Mus musculus: one gene and its partners. The protein of the gene in region 1 purifies or fractionates together with the protein of each later gene. This does not show direct contact. Links are inferred from orthologs where the notes say so. Each region holds a gene or a part of one and is shown on either strand. Other genes may lie near its edges.

Region 1 (5,921 bases):
CTTACAGCTTCCTGACTGGTCTTCAGAGACCATTTCCAAGAATTCATGCAGCAAAGTATCAAATGTCTTACCCGAGTGGGGAACCTCAGCCTTGACCCTGCTTGTGTTCTGGAACCATTTACTCTGGGCACTCAGGACGAGACAGTCACTCATCACACATATTTATCAAGCACCTGCTCAATGACACGAGTCCAGAACCCGGCAGTGAAATGGACTGATGTATGAAATTTATGTCTACTGGGGAATCACTCCCAGCCAATCTAGCCAATGACTATGATATGGAGTGGGGGGGAGTGCAAGAGGTGAGTACCATGTAGTCCCAGGGATTCCAGCTGGGCTCATAATTTGGCAAGTGTCAGAGGAGCCTCTGTAAAACCTTAAGTGGAAAAGACAGGGAAGCGTTGAGCTAATGTGCTTTTCCTGTGGCTCTTGTTCCACAGTCCAATACCCAGGGTGCTGTTCCCACAGCAGTGAGAGAGAGAGAGAGTGAAGCAAACAGGGCATGGAATGGTTAGCTCCAGTTCGTCCTCTGGTCTCAACCAGTTCAGTTCAGGAGAGAGATCATTTCGCTATGACTGGCTGATTTTCAGCCCTAGGAGCTGCTTCAAATGCACAGTCTAGTTGAAGTTTAAACCCCAGCATTCCTCCCTATAAATATAAAATCCTGTCTACCCTCACCCCATCCTTTGACTTATTTTTCTTTTAAGATTAGCATCTCTGCCCCCATTTCCTCCTGCCTTCCTTCTCTGAGCGGGCTGGGACCTTGGACTGCATTGGGTCCCTATTCTATGTGACAGAGGAAGGAAGAATCAGCCGGCTCAGTGGGTCCACAACTCATGAGCTTACACACCACCTCCATAAAGGAGTGTGCCACTGACCTCTGCAGAGCACAGAAAGAGGCAGTGGTCTGAAGATCAATCTATGGGAAGACTTAAGAATGACCCTTTAATGGAGGAGTTGGCATATATTTCAAGTTGTGTCTGTTGGTTCCAGGGTTTTTAACCTCTCTAGTTAAGGGCTTAGCTTTCTTGGGACATCGGCTGCCTTATTTCTGAAAAAGACCAAATGTAACTGGTGTAACCAGCAGTTTGGGGATTGCCAAGTATGGCTTTGCCCTGTGACTCAAAAGATGTTTGTAAGGTAGATTTGGGTGAGTGCCATTATTGTGTGCATGTGTGTATGTATGGATGGGATGTGGTCTCCTGCAGACTGAAATAAACTAGAGCAATTTATCAGTGTCTTTGTGTTTCTTGGGGACAGCTCTGGGCTCAGTAAATTCAGAAGAGCTAGCTGACAACAGGTACCAAGTAAATGAGTGTGTCCTGGGTCTCCCATGTCCCAGACAGACAGTTGACGTCATCTGATTAAGCCCAAGACCCAGGTCTACTGTTAGCATTTTACAATGAATAGAGGCTTGCACACATGCAACTTGTTGAGAGACTGCATCTGACAGAATGTGCCCTCTGGAGCTGACCCACCAGCTCCAAGTTAGGAACCTCTTTTATAATTCTACTCCAGAAATGTCTTCAACATCAGTCAGTATACGCAGATCTGAATCTTAACCCTTCCTGGCTGAAAGCTATTGGATAATTTAACTGCTTTGTGTGGAATTCTCTTATTACATATTTTTTTCCAGACAGGGTCCCATGTAACTCAGGATATCTAGAGATTGCTATGTAGCCTAGGAAGACCTTGAATTCCTGACCCTCTAATCCCCAAAAGCTGAGATGATAGCCGCGCACCATTTGCGATGTGAAGTGGATATGGCTTATGATCTGAAACGATTGCCTTGAAAACAGTAAACAAAACCGATCTTTTGTCCCTTTTCCTCTCCGTTTTTAAAAGGGTTCTGCACCGGCACACAGTGCAGTCCACCCGCTAACCGAACCTCTCTGTCCGCTCTTCCCAGCAAAAAAGTTCCTAACTTCTCTAAGTCGGAAGCTTCTAAGAGCCCTGCAGGTAAGTGCTACCGGGAAGCATCGAGAGTCTCAGGAAGGCCGAGCGTGCCTCTCTCTAAGGAAGAAAATTAAATAGCGAGGCTGCGCACGCAGCATCCAAAGGAAGGCGGACTCCGGCCCGCGCCTCATGGCCACACCCACTGCGCGGAACCGGCCAATGGGGCCTTGTGGATTGGCAAGCGCGCGACTTCCGAGCAGCCCTCGACTGCCTCCGAGCACACTAAAAACCGGCCTGGGTGACGTCAGTCACGCGCGCCGGAAACGCGCATCTACCACGCGCCGCGGGCGCTGAGGGAAGGAAGTTGAGGCCTGAGCGGCCTGAGCTGTGTTTGAAAGGCCGCGGGTGGCAGCGGCAGCGCCAGCAGCAGCTACTTGAACACCCTGAAGGCGGCACGATGGGAGACGAGATGGATGCCATGATCCCTGAGCGGGAGATGAAGGTTAGAGCCTGGCCGGGGCCTCCCCGCCTGCGTAGTCCTGGAGTTGCCTTGGAGCCTCGCCTCTGCCGGCTGCTCCTGCAGTTCGCAGGGTCGCGATCGCTCGCCCCACAGAGCGTCCGCAGCTCTGCGTGTCGCGGGCCTGAGTTCCCTGCAAGTGCAGGTACCTGTCCTTGCGTGGGTTTGTCCACGCCTTCTGAGTTACCCCAGGTACTCTGATGGGCTGGTCGCCTTACTGGTGACAGCGATTCTTGTTTATTGAGTGAGACGTACTGTCGCCACCGTCGCTGCAGCCCTTACGACCAGCTTAGAAAGAGGAGCGCATTGAAGCCTTGAAAGCAAATGATCCAAAGTCACGTGGCAAAAGCCTTACATCTCTCTTACGATTTAGGCATGGTCTCTTGTAGCTCAAGGTGGCTTCTGGTCTTGGGCTCTTGTCTCTGCCTCCACCTCCCAAGTGGTGGGATTATTGGTGTGCATTACCACAGTTGGCTTAGACGCTCAGTTCTTATTAGCTCTCTATACTTGAGGGTGGTCCAAACTACCTAAAGTGGAGCCAAGAAACACTATCTGCCTTCAAAACCCCTAGTTAGTAGGAACAGGAAGTCAAGTTTGGCACTGGAAATCAGCTTGAACTCATGAGACTAAAGGAAAAGCAAGCGAACCCTAAGTGATCCCCATGCTACAACTTCTGGATACTGTGTTAATAGTTGGCTTATATACTCTGACAGAATGGAAAGGCAGGGGACCGTAGACAGTTGGAAATGAGTGAGTTGCAGGAAGGTGTTAGCCATTTGTGTGACCGGTGAGTCGCTAAAATGCACATGGGTCGAGTGCTCCATATCATGCTTAGAAACAGTGGCTCTTCCTTGAGTCAGCACATGTGCTGAGCCCGGTAATGGGCAAGCTTCATGTTCCTCAGATATGTTCGGGTAGAGAATTTAGAACCACAGGGCTAATAGCAGTATTTTAATTCCTGCCAAAAGCAGAAAGGAGAGGTTTGGGTTTTGGGTTTGTCTGTTGTGTTTGTTTTGTTTTGTTTTGTTTTGTTTCTTTTGTGTTGCTTCATCACACTGGCCCACCACAAAAAAAGCCACCAAGCCCCAGTGGTACAGTCATGACTATTAGGATGATAATATCAAAAAAGATAGATGATTTGTTTCTTTATGAATGGCCAGTGTGGCCTCATGGGGAAATTTGTGTGAACTTTTACCCACCGTATTCAACTGGGATTAAGAGTACTGCTCTTCCAGAGCTCCTGAGTCCAATTCCCAACACCTACAGGGCAGCACACAATTGTCTGTAGCTCTAATTCTCACACAGACACATGCAGGCAGAACACCAATGCTCATAAAAATCTTCCAGTAAATATGTATTAAACATGGACTGCAAGAAAATTAGTATGTGTGGGTGTGCTAGACACCCTTTATGAAGCATTTCATAAGGTTCTGTAGAAATACATTTTCTCTTGTAGCTGTCATATTCTTTTCACTAAAATCCCTAGCTGGAGAGTTAGGAGGTGTGGTGGAGGATACAGATAGAGCTTAACAAAGTGATTACAGATTAACACTTTTTGAGGGTATTAGATCCCCAGGAACTGGAGTTACAGACAGTTGTGAGCTGCTATGTGGGTTCTGGGAATTGAACCTAGATCCCCTGAAAGAGCAGCCAGTGTTCTTAACCATTGCTTCCTCTCTCCAGCCCTCTCTATTTATTTCATTCAGCAAATGTTAATGAGTATTATACCAAGCACCACCAAATACAGAGTCTAAAAACAAAATTGGTGGCCTCAAGGTAATAAGTATATTTTTGTTATCCTGAAATTGCATTTATGGACTATGATAATAGACATGATTTAATTTCTTCCTTGATCTTGTTTCCTATTCTAAAACAGGACTTTCAGTTTAGAGCACTGAAGAAAGTGAGGATCTTTGACTCTCCTGAAGAGTTGCCCAAGGAGCGCTCGAGTGTGCTTACCATATCCAATAAGTATGGTATGCTCTTCGCTGGTGGCACCAATGGCTTGAATGTTTTTCCTACTAAAAGCCTTCTTATCCAAAATAAACCTGGAGATGATCCCAATAAAATTGGTAAGCACGTTCTTTGATTTATAGTGTGCAGCAGAGCCAGGGCTGCAGTAGCATACTAGTCAGTGTATTTCCTTACTAAGACACGATTCTGATGTCAAAATTGTGATTTCTTTTGGCCTTGCAGGGAGCTTCCACTTAGGGTGCCAAAGGCCTTTCTGAGTTTTCTTTTCAGCTCTCTGCTATTGTTTCTGTGAGCCACTTCTCTAAGATGAGAGGGAAGAAGACCTTACTGTTGTGCTCAGTTGAACGTGGGCTCTGGGAAGCCATCCAGAAGAAGGCATGGCTGTATCACCCTGCAGACGGAAACGTGTGTCTGCAGCATTGAGCAGAAGTGTTTTCAGCAAGGGCCATAGCAAGAGTCTTGGGATATTTAAAGCAGCATTACCTATGTACAGGAGAGTTAAGCTTAGTTCCTGTAACTAGATATCCAAGGTATTGTTACTCTGTATCCATCGTGCATCAGGAGGAAGTGGGGAGAGTGCACCAGTGGGCTGGTGAGACAGCAAAATCTTCTATGTTAATACACATAAGCAGAGTTGCTGATGATCAAGACTGCCAGACAAGAACTCCAGGAGTCTTGTTCCTTCTGGCAGCTCTGATTGGGGACTGAATCAGCAGGGTTTATAAGCATAAAAAAATGTAAGCAACTGGGACAAGTTACAGTTACAGTTTTCACCAGTCAGGACTCTGGGATTAGGGACTCTCCCAAGTGTTTCATTGTTGTCAGCTGACATTGAGTGTAAGTGTTTTTGCTCAACCAATCAAATTTGTCTGTTCTTTCTGTTAGGAACAACATTATGTTTTGGGGAACTATTGTTGCTTAGAGAGGGAGTTGGTGAGCTTGTAGAGAGTCCTCAGTTCCCCAGGGCCTAGGAACTTGAACTTTGTTCATCCAATAGGAAAAATGGAGTCTGAATGTAGAATGTCAGTCCTTAAGACCAGCTCTTTATCTATGCCCAACAGGTGTATTTTTATATAGGTGAAAATGTGGGTTTGTATTGACTTGAGTAAAGGATTATGACTGTGTGCCTGTTACATGCTGTATTTTTCTGCTTTGTGTTTTTATAGTTGACACAATTCAAGGCTTGAATGTTCCTATGAAATTCCCAGTCCATCACCTAGCACTGAGCTGTGATAGTCTTACACTCTCTGCCTGCATGATGTCTAGTGAATACGGCTCCATTATAGCTTTTTTTGATGTTCGCACATTTTCAAATCAGGTAAGCTACTATATGGAAGCAGAGACTTGCTCGTAGACGTTCTAACTTGGAAGCTGTATAAAGGGTGACGTGGCTGCTCCATGGTCTGGTAAGGGGGTATTCATTGTAGCTATAAGAAAGCAAACACTAGAGGAACTTGGAAGAGTCCAGAGCAGAGAAAGAAGTAGACTGAACATGGCCAGCAGAGTGAATATAGCCAGGGCTCTGGGGACGAGG
Region 2 (4,032 bases), on another chromosome or scaffold:
CACCTTAAAAACAATACAATTTACATGCTATTTTGACCCATATGCTCCTAATCCCCCCATGACTTGCAGCTGGGTATCCAAATGAGGGGAGGGGAATGTTAAGCAACTATATGCAACGTATTTTTATCTTGTTTGTTGTATTTGTTTTTTGTTTTTGAAACAAGATCTCAGACTGTAGTTCAGGCTTCGGGATACTGAGATGGCAGGTGTGTCGCTACAGCTCGTCAATGCACACGTTCTTTATATAATACTACACAGATCTTGTAAACGAAGTCTGGACATCAAAGCTTTATGGGAACTGCTAAGTGGTCTAAGGACGCGCCTCCGCGAAACTTTGTTAACAGTCCAGGGCCCCGACGGGGTCTCCAAGGGCAATTAGGGGCGCCTGAAGCCAGCTCTGCTCGAGTCTGGAATGGGCTGTGTGACCTTGGACAGGCTCCACTCTCTCTCTGGGCTTCAGTTTGCAAATCCGCACGTTGGAAGGTGAACCACGTGGTTCTCATGGTCCGGTTCCGCACAGAGCGCGGCAGCAAGCCGACCTCACCATGAAGGCAGCTTCCTGTGGGCGCGGCGCAGGACTTTAACGGTTCCCGTCCCCGCCCCCTCCGAGGCCCGCGAAAGGCTCGCTTTCCGTACACCGCGGCGAGTGACGGCTCTCCGTAGCGCGCAGTCCGAGCCACTCGCGCGCAGCTCCGCCCCACCCCGGAGGCGTCCCGTCGTGCTCCGCGCCAGACTCCTAAGAGCCTGGGCGCCTCCCGCCTTTCCGCGCGGCGGCGACCCCGAACTCCTCGCTTCAGTTCTCCCGGCGCCCCGTCCTATCAACGTCCAGGATCCCAGCCAATCCGACGCGCCTGGAGCCTTTACCTTCCGCCCACCCTTCTCCCCGCGCACAGCCGGGCTGAGCCCGAAGGCCTTTACCGGGCCAGCCCAATCAGCGGCGCGCTCTTACCTGCCCCACCCCAGAGCCCCTCCCCTCGACCAATAAGCACGCCCCATCCCGCTGCCCGCCCAGCCAACCGGACCTTGAAGCCCGCAGGCCAATGGGCGCGTGGCGGCCCTTCAACGCTAGCCGTCCGGCCAATCGGGGGTTCCGCGTGGCCCCGGCCGTAGCCAATCGCTGGGCAGCGCGGTGCCGCCGCGGAGAGGTCCGGCAAGGATATCCCTCCGCCTCCCTCCCTCGATCTCTCTCCCTCCCTGCGATCCGCCTCTCACTCACTCACTGCCGCCCTTCCTTTCTCCCTCCGCCGCCCGAGCAGCAGCCGCGCTCCGAGCTGCCCCCGGGGTCCCTCCCCCGCCGCCAGAGGAGCAGCTGCTGCCGCCTAGCACATTAGGAGGGCGGAAGGAAGGAAGGAGAGCGGGGAGGAAGGGGAGCCGGAGCGCCTGGCCAGAGGCAGCCGGTGAATGGGCTTGTGGTGACCCCCACCCCCCACCCCACCCTCCCTTCCCACCCGACCCCCAACCCCCATCCCCAGTCGGAGCCGCCGCCCGACAGGCCGGGCCGCCGTCTTGCGAGGAGTCCCCGCCGCCGTCACCTCCGCCATGGAGCTCATAACCATCCTCGAGAAGACCGTGTCTCCGGGTAGGACTCGGGGCCGGGGGGTCGGGCCGAGGTGACCGGGGTGGGGGAGGGGGTGGCCCCTCTGACCCCGCTGCCTCTCCCCCCATCTCTCCCGGCAGATCGGCTGGAGCTGGAAGCGGCGCAGAAGTTCCTCGAGCGTGCGGCCGTGGAGAATCTGGTGCGTGCCGCCCCGCCGCGCCCCATCCCGCCGCGTCCCCATCCCTGCGTGCGGCCCTTCCCGCCCTCCTGGAGGCCCAGGCCTCAGGAACCCACCCCGCCCCAGCTCGTCCCCCTACCCCCCCGCCCGGCCCAACCTAACCCCGCCATCGGGAAGCCGGTGGGTGTGTCCCGCCCCGAGCCCCGCGTCTGGCCAATAGCGAGGCGCGCCGGGGTGATCGCCGTCCAATCGCCACGCGGCCTGAGGGCGGCGGTGCTGCGGGAGGGAGAAAGAGGGAGGGAAGGGAAGTTAGGTTGCATGGCGCTGCGTGTTCAGCAAGGGTGGGGGTTGGGGAGCCGGGCCTAGGGGCCATGTGGAAGCTCTGCGCCCTGCCGCCTGCCTTGTACTGGCTGCGGCCGGCCTCTCCTTCCTGTCCCCTGGTTTTGAGGCAGTATGCAACTACTTCCCAGAGCCCTACCCTTCCCCAGCTCCCTTGGTCTGTGCTCATGGCCACGCCTGGCACCCGACCACCTCTGGACCCATTGCCACAATTTTTTTCTTTTTCTTGCCCATTATTATCCCATTCCTGGTCTAAGTGCACGAATGTTCTGTTTGGACTTAGGTTTTCAGAGAACTCATCTTTAAGGATCTCAGGCTGAGGCTCATTTCTGAGATTGAGCCTATTCTCTGATAAATCACAAATGTAACCCCGTTTTTCATACTTTCGGATTTAAGAAGTACATTTGAGAAAAGAAAAAGTGACTGACTTTTGTATAGGAAAATGTGGGATTATTGAAGCAGCCTATTGCCAGAATGTTTCTCCTCTCCTTTTTGGGGGAAGGGGAGGGAAGCGTGGATGATATGGAAAGTCTCTTTAAAGGTAGGAAGTTTTAAAAAGTGAAAAAAAACATTGTAACCCAATGTCCTTTGTGAGAGCTTTGCAAAATAGTAACATCCATACAGCGACATATCTGATTTGTACTGACCACTTTTGGTGGAGAGGTAAGCGACTTGTGTTAAGGTTTTTTTATCTCACACCTTTCCAAGCATTTCCTTTTTAGTGTAGACTGAGAATTCTGCTCATAGTATATTCTTGGTTTTGCTTTTGCTACTTTGCAAGAAGCCCTTTTTCCTGCTCCTAACTCTTCAGTGGCACAGAATAGAAATTGGAGAATTGTGTTCTGAGCCTACTGTAGAGTTTGCTTACATTGAGAATTATCTCCTGTGTTTGAAGAGTTTGCTAACACTAAAAAAAGTGTCTACTTTGGCCTTCTATAACATTCCTGATTGGACAGATTACGTACAGGCCCACCCCCCTGTGTGTGCCTCTGTATGCTCAGAAAGAGGAAGGGGGGTGTTATAGATGATTATCTTTTGGACCTGTATTTCAAAACATAGATTTTTGGATGATTCATTGTTAGTTCACATTAGGTCCAAAACACCATAGGCTCCCTGGTATGTTCTGCTTCTAAATGAAGCCAGTTTTTTTTTTTTTTTCCCCTCTCTCTTTTTTTTTTTTTTTTTTTTGGGCGGGGGGGAGTCAAGACAGGATTTCTCTATATAGCCCTGACTATCCTGGAACTCACTTTCTGTAGACCAGACTGGTCTCCCAACTCTGAAATCCACCTGCCTCTGCCTCCTAAGTGCTGGGATGAAACCAATTTCTCTTGACAATTCATCATTCACATTGTCATATTCTTTCAATTTCTGAAAACTAGTTAACACTTTGGCTTACAGATCCCTTTTGTTGAACATGCAGAACTAAAACACGGAGGACTCGGTCTTACATGTATGTTAGACTGGCACACATATGTTAGAAAGGATGCCTTACATGAGATCACAGGGCTGTCCTGATGTTTTTGAACAAGATTTTTTTTTTTTTAATATACTTTTCAAGAATTCTTTTCGTTGAGCTGATTTGCAGTACTGGACATTGTTGTACATGCTTGGAGAAAGTTGTCACTAGGATTGCCGTGTCACCAGGCATCGACTTGCCTTTAATTCTGGGGAGATATTTATTAGACTTGGGCTCAAAACATGTTCTTGATAGGAGGAATCTGTTTCTTCATATAGCAGGTGACTTGTCCTTGAAGTGGCTTTTGTTGCTTAGTCAGGCCTTAACTTTTTGAACCCAAGGAAACCTCTTCAATGTTGAGTCTAGGCAGGTACTATTTCAAAGAGAGATTTCCCAGTTTCCTGAGATACCTTGATTTGATCTAAATTTTGTGTGCTTCTCTAGTTTAGTACTTTATAAGCAAGGGGAAATTGCTAATATGCTTGCAAATGCACCTTCTCCACAGCCCACGTTCCTTGTGGA
Region 3 (4,139 bases), on another chromosome or scaffold:
TTAGAGGGGCTGACTTCTCAACTATGTCTTTCATCACTGTCCACTAAGCTTTGGTCTCCCACTTCTGTCTCCTGATGCACCCATGAGCTTAGGGATCCCTTGCTCGGAACCCTGCAGACCTAGAACAGTGTTGGGCACACTGCAGGCCCTCAGTACTGATCTTGTGAAGGAATAAATTCTTCCTTTTCTGTCCACCCCCACCCCCAGCTCAACCCACCTCTCTTCTTAACCTGTTCTTACCTGCCAGGGGCTCTCCCCCCCCTGGAAGCCCGCCCTCCAGGGCACCCCCAAGGACCTCATAGGGGCCCAGGGGGGCAGGGGCCAGGGGGAGTTTCCCATAGTCTACGAGCCAGCCCAGCCCGCTAGCTGGGAGCAGGGCCCTGTCCAGCTCCAGTCCCAGGGTCGCCAGGAGTGACATGGCTGTGACACAGGCACAGGGCAGCGACGGCAATGGAGGCTGCACCAACAATTGGGAGGCAGCGTGGAAGATTGTTCAGCTGGGTGAAGACAGGCACCAAGGCGAAGGTGGAGGACCTGTGAGGACAAGGGGACGTGGGTGGGATTGAGTCAAAGCGGCTTGACCCACAGGCTACACAGTTTCCTTCTTTCCGAAAATTTCAGCGCTCCACACATTCCCAGGGACATTATTGGAAACTCCCCTGCCCCATCTCCTCCCTCAACACAGAAACCTAGTGTTTTCCCAGGGGAATTACCTCTAGTCCCTCCTACCCACCTCATCTTATTCCTCTTCATAAAAATTTCAATCCCAAGGGAATTTCCTTCTAGCCGTGCCCCTTCCGCATCATTAGACTATACCCCCTTTAATCCACAGGGGTTCCCAGAATAATTCTGCATGCCTGGGCCCTTCATCAGTGTCACACACACAGATCCCGCTCTTCCCTTAAAAATTTTGGTGACTTCTAAAGATTCTACGGGAAGCTCCGCCCACCCTTCTGTCTGTCACAGTCAGTTCCCGTCCCCCACTAGCAAGTCCCTAGAGGCCCCGCCCCTGTAGTGCTAGTGCTAACTCTTTCTTAAAGGTGTTCCTAAAGCCTTTCCTGTCAGTTTAAGCCAGTCCCCGCCCCAGCAGGTGTCTGATTGGAGGGAAGTTGGGCCTGAGTCGGAGCCTCAAGCAAAACCCCACCCTTCCTCGCTGCTGGCTCGACTAGCGACGAGGCGCAAGCTCAGTCCCAGGACCCGATCCATTGTTACGCCACTACCCTCCTGGGGGACCAGTGCGCGTGTTTAGCCAATGACCGGCCGCCCGCCGTAGTTCAGGCCGGGGGTGGAGGGGTGGGGGGGTGGGGGAATAAGACAATGCGCATGCGCAACAGGTTGTGGGGTTGTCTCCTTGGAGGAAAAGGGGCAGAGGGTCTGTGAATTAGCGCGCAGGCGCAACGGCGCGCGAGCCGACCTTAAAAGCCCCCAAATTCTCCGGAAGCACGCCCTCCTCCTCCCCGCCCCTCGCAACTCGAGCCTAGTGCGCTTGCTCAGCGGATGCGCCGGCCGCCAGCTTCCCTCTTCTGCGCCTGCGCGACCGTGGTTCCTCACTTCGTCTCCCCCGCCCCCACCACGAGGCTGACCCGTGAAGCCCCGCGAGCTCTGAAAGGGCGGGAAAGGCAGTTGGCGAGGGAGGGGCGAGCGGTTACTCACTCCATGGCGGCGAAAAGGCGAGGAGGCAACGGCGGCGGCGGCCTCGGCTGAAGAGACGGTGTGAGCGGAGAGTGAAGGCGCGGTGAGCGCGGAGACGGGGGCGGGGGACACGACGGGGTCGCGGCTACAGAGCCATTGCGCGGGCGGAGGCGGCGTGGCGGGAGCGTTAAGGGAGACTGTGCTGAGAGGGTTGAAAATGAGGCGGCCCCGGGGCCTGGGGACAAATATACCGGGGGCGGCGCAGCGCGGGCTTGCCTGGATCCCTCCGCGCCCCGCCCTCGCGCGGCCCCGACGGGGCGGTGGCGACCCCGGGCCCGCCATGTCGCCCTGACCCTCCACTCTCTGCTTCAGGCTGGGGGCCCGGGCTCGGTCTCCTGAATCGGTCAGATCCGATGTGTCTTTCACACCCGAAACCAGCTCGTCTCGTTCTCTCTCCCTGCTTCACGAATTTGCCACCCGAGACCTCGTGGGTTAAGCCCATCGCCGAATGGCGCAAGCTAGCTTAGGCTTCATAGAGGAGTTCCAGGCAGCAACCGCGAGATAACGCTTCCCAAGTACTTGTAGAGCGCTGTATACGCGCACAGATATATCAGCTATGGAAAGTAGGCCACGAAGTCCTAACCACGAGACTCTTCAACATATTTTTGTTTGTTTTGTTTTAACATTTATTGTGGTGGTCAGAGGAGAGCTAGCAGGAGTTGGTTCTCTGACCATGTGAGTCCCAGGGACGGAACTCGGGTCAAACTATTTGGCAGCCTTTACCCACTGCTCAGTCATTGTATTTTCTTTTAGAAAAAAACCCTGACTTCACCTCTTTTACTCTCCCTACCCCAGATTCTTAGCCATATGATCGTTCTGTGTGTCCCACCTCCAAGGTTTCTGTTTCCAGCCATCCCTGCCGACCTCTAAGGTTTTGCCCTTGCTCTGACTTTCTTGCAGTCCTTGCTCTCTTGCTGACCCCACTAGATAATTATTTCTTGATCCTGTCCAAAATAGGACATTTATATTCCATTTAGTAAAAGAGTCCCTCTTGTCCTTCACCGGGGATGATGCGTGAACCCTGTTTTCTACCCCATGTTCATGTACATGGCTGGCATTCCATGTGAAAGTCAGTCAGTGTGTCATATTTGTAGCAGCTGAGAGACTGAATGGTTGGAGATAGAGCTCAAGAATGCTCGTCTGTTTTTAACACCAGAACCTTAGTCTCTGTCCAAGCACCACATGGATTGGGCTTGACTTGCCTGTATTCTCAGGATTTGGGAGATGGGAGAAAAGAAATCATGAGTTCAGGGTCATACTGACTGGCCTCAATGTGTTTTAAAAAGAAAAAGTCCAGAGGCCAGGCTTGATATCTCACCTACTTAGGAGGCTAAGACAGGAGTATTGAAAGTCAAGGTCAGGGCTGGAGCTGCTTTGAGATGGCTCTGGTGGTGATCTCTAAACTCAACCCTCCTGAGTTCCATCCTCAGGACCCACTTGGTAGAAGGACAAAAGCAACTCTAGACGGTTGTCCTCTGACCTCCACCACCTGTAGTGACAGGTCTACATACTGAGTAAGGGGAGGAAAAAAGCTCAAGGCTTGCCTTGACTAGAAAGTGAGTTCTTGGCTGTCTAGAGAACTTAACAAAGATCCTGATTTTAAAAAAATATGTAATGGGCTGGGGTTGGAGGTTGGTGGCAGAGTGTTGGCCAGAATACTGCTTTCCAGACTCTGGTGTCCATCCCTGGTACTGTAAAAGATTCAGAGCAGGTGGGGAATACTGATTTTGAAAGTTACAAGTCCTTGAGATAATTCCCCTTGGAATGGGCACTCTTTTTTTTTTTTTAGATTTTATTTATGTAAGTACACAGGTTCTCTTCAGACACACCAGAAGAGGGCATCAGATTCCATTGCAGATGGTTGTGAGCCACCATGTGGTTGCTCTGGAAAAGCAGTCAGTGCTCTGTAACACTGAGCCATCAGAGTGTGAATTCTTATCTTCTGCCAGTGTTTGAGCACAGGCGTGATTTGATGTGTTTAGACTCCAGCCCTCCCTTGCCAGCTATGGGCTTTGTTAAGTCCATGTGGAGTCTGCTACGAATACAGAAATGGGATGGACCCAGAGCTTCATGAACTGCATGCTAAATGGACATTCTACCACCTGAGCTGCATCCCTGGGCCCCACAGGTGCTGGTTTTTATTTGAAACATTGTGCCATGTTGCTGTGCCGGTGGTGCTCCTTTCCTTGAGTTTGGTATTTTAAAGTAAACTTTTGGAATAATCGAAAGGTTTCAAAGACAGTGCAGAGTGGGGGTACCAGCCCATAGTCTTCCCCATGGTACTTCTTTTTTCTTTCCTGAGGTCCTACCCAGATGCTTCCCCCGCCCTCAGATCCACCTTAACTCAAGAGCTGGTTTTCACATTTAGCTGCCATGCCCTCCCCAGCATGTGCACAGCCGTCACTTTATGGGAGTTGTGATCATCCCTGGAGGCCTGCCACCCTGAG
Region 4 (4,189 bases), on another chromosome or scaffold:
TCTGTAGTCCAGGCTTGTTTGAATTCAAGAGATCTGCCTGCCTCTGCCTCTGTCACCACCACCCAACTGCTGGTTGTTTTAAGCAACCCTAATCAGCAAAACTGACCTGGCACTTGGGAGCCATGGGTTAACCTAGGGGCGTGGCATAATAAGGGCACGCACCAAGTTAAAAGAAGTTGGCACAAAATCTGTCTATACGCATTGTTAAGTTAGCAACAGGATTTTCAATGTGTTAGGACTAATTTTTAGAAATAACTTCTTGTTGAAGCAGTCTGGGGAGAGTTAATTTTTTGTTGTTGTTTTTTTTCGAGACAGGGTTTCTCTGTGTAGCCCTGGCTGTCCTCGAGCTCACTCTGTAGACCAGGCTGGCCTCGAACTCAGAAATCCCTGTCTCTGCCTTCCAAGTGCTGGGATTAAGGGCATGCGCCACCTCTGCCCGGTAGAGAGTTAAATTTTTAAGGAGGCTCGTCCAATAACTAACTAGACAACCGTTTCCAGGCGCCCAAACTGCACGCCCGTTTATGCCAACCTCGGCCCGTGCTATTCACGTTCCCATGCGGTGCCCAAACCCAGGCCTCTACAACGGATCCAAGGCCCAGGGCCTACCATCCGGCACCTATGTGTTCTTTTCGGTCCTTCGCGGCCGTCTATTTCCATGTAGAAACAGGGTGTGCCCTCCCTTTTCCGAGCACAGACCCCATCCTAAGGGCGGATGCTGGGGCCCCAGGACGAGGCCCCTGAGGTTGGCGGGAGCTCGAGGGGGCGGGCCGCCAGGGAACGGGGAGGGGGGGAAAGCAGAAAGACGAGCAACGCGCGCGGCGCTCAAACCCGCGCTGCCTTCTGCTCACGGGCGAACCCCACCCTCTCCGTCACCAAAGGCGCCCAGCCAATGGGCGAGCCGGAAAGGCCGGGCTTACAAGCGAGGGACCGAGAGGGGGAGCCACTCGAGGGGAAAGGGATGTAGAAGGCGGGCTGCACTTGACTGACAGCTCACTCAAGCCAATCCTCTGTGAGGCTTCTCCGCTCTCCTCTTTGCTGGGCTCTGTTCGACGTCCCACCTTCTCTTCCTCCACCCCCCCCTCACTCCTTTGCGTCCCGCCCCGCCTCCCCTCCCCCACTCTGCGGGCAAATCACTGCTGGAAAGAGGCGGGGGCCTAAGCGGCAGGCTCGTGTGGAGCCTTGAGGTGGGATTGACGGGCGCTCCGACCAATAAGAGGTAGGCTGATGGCGCGGCTGTGGCCGGGGCCGACCAATGGGCGCGCGGCCTGGGGGCGGAGGCCCAGGTTCCAAACGCTCCGCGGCGCCATGGGCTGAAAACTCAACCGAGATGGAATCTCCCAGTCTGAACCGGTTTCAACCGGTTCCGAGTTTGAGGCACTAGGAGGAGGGGGAGAAGCGGCTGCAGCGGCCGCGGCAGGAGCAGCGGGAGCTTCAGCATCAGCAAGAGCAACAGTAGCTACAGCCCCGGCGGCCGTGCCTGTTCCAGCCTTTGCTGCAGCAGTCGTGCAACCATCCCGAGGGGGAGGGGGGAGGCACCAGTCGCTGAGGAGCACGCGAAGGGGGGAAAGTTTAGGCTAGCTCGGGTGGGGGGGCCCGGCGCCGGAGCGGCGTGAGCGAGGGAGCCCTGTGTGGTAGGGGGAGCCGGACTGCAACTGGCGGCAGAGCGGCCCCGGCCGTACGGACTCGCGCTGCTGCTCCCGCCGCCGCCTGTGGCTGGAGGGTCCTGGGCTCTGTCTCACGGACTGGCCCGCTCCCCTCCCCCTTCCTTCCCTCCCCAGCCGGGCGGGAGCATTTATTTCTCGGATTAATTCCCCTTTTTGGTGGGGCGCGTGTGTGTGCGTGCGCGCGTGTGTGTGCGTGAGTGTGTGTTGGGTGGAGTTGTCCCTAGAATAGTAAATACTGAGCTTTTTTTTTTTTTTTTGCCCTTCTCTGCTTTTTAATTTCTTTTTTGTTTAAGGTGGGAAAACTGTGAAACCCACCTTGATTTCCTCCCCTCTCCCTCCTCCCCACCTTCCCTCGCCCCAAGCCCGGACAAGGAAGGAAGAAGCAGTTGGTTGAATTTCTGGGTAAGTCGGTCGTGTGCTCGGGGCCGAGGGTCGGGCGGCGGCGGCGCGGCGGGCATGAGGCGAGGCGGGCGGCGGGCGCGGGGCCCTCGGCGGAGCCTGAGATTGAATGGAAGCGCTTCTGTCGCTCGGTGATGGAGGTGGGGAGGCGGCCGCGGGAGGGGAGCGCTTGCTGGGTCATCTTCGTGTGCGGGTGGCGGTGGAGGAAGGCGAGGAGCGTGGTAGTGAGGCTGAGCCCCTGCGCGTGGGTGGAAGGGCTTCCCCAGTCCAAAGGGCTGGGGAGAGTCGGGGGTGATTTCGGGAACGTCTCTGTAAATTATTAGGAGTGGAAGTTTCCAGAAATATTTAGTGCAGCAGCATTGAAACGTCCGCCTGCATCACGTGGCCCCCTCGGTGGAGAGCTTGGGATGGGGGAGGGAGGGGCTACCGAGTCCCTTCTTATGTGAAGAAACTCGAAAGCCTTGTGGGTGATTTTTGTTGTTGTTGGTTTTGTGAGTGTGTGTATAACAAGAAGTAGGAAAGAGGAGTTAATTTCTTTTTTTCGGGGGCCTGCAGTTGGGGTTCCGTGTTGTAGGTTGTTTTCGCCCGGGGCATATATGTCTTGGTGAAACCGTGTACTGCTGGCCGTGGACAGTGAATGATGCCCTCCCTGCTCCTCCTTCTGGTTTCTTGAGTTTGCGGTGTAGGAGAGGAAGTGGTGGTAGAGGATGCACTGAATACTCGCCGAGGCGGGACCTCGGATCACTCAGAGGACATGCTGCATAGAGAATAGGGCGGTGAACTTAGGCGCCGGGTCTAAATGCCTCCTCCGAGTATGGGCGGGGTGAGTGCGTGCTCCTGTGAGCTATAGTTAGAAGTGCTGAGAGTCGTTCGGGTGGGAAGCCAGGGGAGGGCGGTCCCTTCCTAGTGAGGCGTGTGTTTCTTACTGAATGAAGCAGGCGATTGCCCACACACGGAGTAGCAGTCTTTTGTAGCATCTTGTTTTTTGACTCATTGTGAACTTACCTTTTTAGATGGCTACTGGTGGGTAGTGTTTTGCTGCTTGCAGTGCCATTGAAGGTATATGGACAATCACTTGTAGAGTCACAGCATTGTTTGATGGGTTCCTACAGTTCACAATCCAGTGAGTGGAATTTGGGATTGGGGGACACCAACGAGACAGGTGAACCAATCAGAAAGTGAACAATCCCTCCATAGCTGCACTACTTACTGCATGATTCTGTATCTTGAATGTGGGTGTCACGGCTGACGGTGGAATGACTATTTGGAAGCTGTTTGGTTGGGGCTGCTAAATGTGCTTGGCATTGACCACAGAGCCGCCATTTCTGGATTACCTATAGTTGAAGTTGGAAGATAACCGCTAGTTCCGAGAAAGGCCAACAACTGTATTTAAGTATTCTTAGATTGCACCCCTTCCCCCACATGAGTCTAGTATCTGAATTCTTAGAGAAGACCAACTTGAAAATGAAACTTAGGACTTAAGTGTAGGGTCATTTGACTAAACATTTAATCATTACTTTTTTTTTTAAAGAACTATAAATTGAGATAGTGTCTGAGACAAGTTGGTTGCAATTTTTAACCATAAACTCGAAAAATCTGTTTTAATCTGTAAAAGTTATGACACTTGAAGTTATTGGAAAGAATAGTTATTTGTTAGTGGGATTTATTTTTCTTGTATATTAGTGTTCTGTTTTTCCCTTCTTAAGACAGACAGAGTCTCACTGTGTATTCCAGTCTGTGCTTCCATCTCTTCTGGGATTGCATATGTCTTATCTCTTAACACTGGCCTTGGTGTTAATTGTCCTTTCACCTCCCAGGTGCTTTCTTTAATTTTTAATATATAATTTATTTTTACTTTTAGTTTATGTTTTGTTGGTGTTTTGCCTGCATGTATGTCTTTGTGGAGGTGTCAGAAAACCAGAAACCAGAGTTACAGATCAATGTGGGTGCTGGGAATTGAACCAGGGTCCTTTGGAAGCACAGCCACTGAGCTATCTCTCCAGCCCAGTTTGTTTGTTTCTTTTCTTTTTCTTTTTCTTTTTCTTTTTCTTTTTCTTTTTCTTTTTCTTTTCTTTTCTTTTCTTTTCTTTCTTCTTTTTCCGAGACAGGGTTTCTCTGTATAGCCC

Evidence for each region. Proteins that work in one complex are often made in the same cells at the same time.
Region 2: the proteins of Nup214 (region 1) and Kpnb1 purify together in Homo sapiens (affinity purification with mass spectrometry; 3 studies listed by BioGRID and IntAct, with this or other methods). This does not show direct contact. The link is inferred for Mus musculus from reciprocal best matches to the Homo sapiens genes NUP214 and KPNB1.
Region 3: the proteins of Nup214 (region 1) and Nup62 purify together in Homo sapiens (affinity purification with mass spectrometry; 5 studies listed by BioGRID and IntAct, with this or other methods). This does not show direct contact. The link is inferred for Mus musculus from reciprocal best matches to the Homo sapiens genes NUP214 and NUP62.
Region 4: the proteins of Nup214 (region 1) and Xpo1 purify together in Homo sapiens (affinity purification with western blotting; 4 studies listed by BioGRID and IntAct, with this or other methods). This does not show direct contact. The link is inferred for Mus musculus from reciprocal best matches to the Homo sapiens genes NUP214 and XPO1.

What each region holds. Positions count from the first base shown.
Region 1 is NC_000068.7:31,972,211-31,978,131, forward strand, and holds the start of Nup214 (nuclear pore complex protein Nup214), read left to right. Parts: upstream 1-2,239; 5' UTR 2,240-2,353; coding exon 2,354-2,398; intron 2,399-4,289; coding exon 4,290-4,485; intron 4,486-5,553; coding exon 5,554-5,705; intron 5,706-5,921. UniProt on the Homo sapiens protein: Part of the nuclear pore complex. Has a critical role in nucleocytoplasmic transport.
Region 2 is NC_000077.6:97,185,093-97,189,124, reverse strand, and holds the start of Kpnb1 (importin subunit beta-1), read left to right. Parts: upstream 1-1,232; 5' UTR 1,233-1,539; coding exon 1,540-1,579; intron 1,580-1,677; coding exon 1,678-1,736; intron 1,737-4,015; coding exon 4,016-4,032.
Region 3 is NC_000073.6:44,814,749-44,818,887, forward strand, and holds the start of Nup62 (nuclear pore glycoprotein p62), read left to right. Parts: upstream 1-1,339; 5' UTR 1,340-1,735; exon of another isoform or gene 1,736-1,910; intron 1,911-4,139. Other genes in the region: Atf5 (cyclic AMP-dependent transcription factor ATF-5), read right to left, coding at 241-418. UniProt on the Homo sapiens protein: Essential component of the nuclear pore complex. The N-terminal is probably involved in nucleocytoplasmic transport.
Region 4 is NC_000077.6:23,254,652-23,258,840, forward strand, and holds the start of Xpo1 (exportin-1), read left to right. Parts: upstream 1-1,389; 5' UTR 1,390-1,509; exon of another isoform or gene 1,510-1,992; 5' UTR 1,993-2,066; intron 2,067-4,189. UniProt on the Homo sapiens protein: Mediates the nuclear export of cellular proteins (cargos) bearing a leucine-rich nuclear export signal (NES) and of RNAs.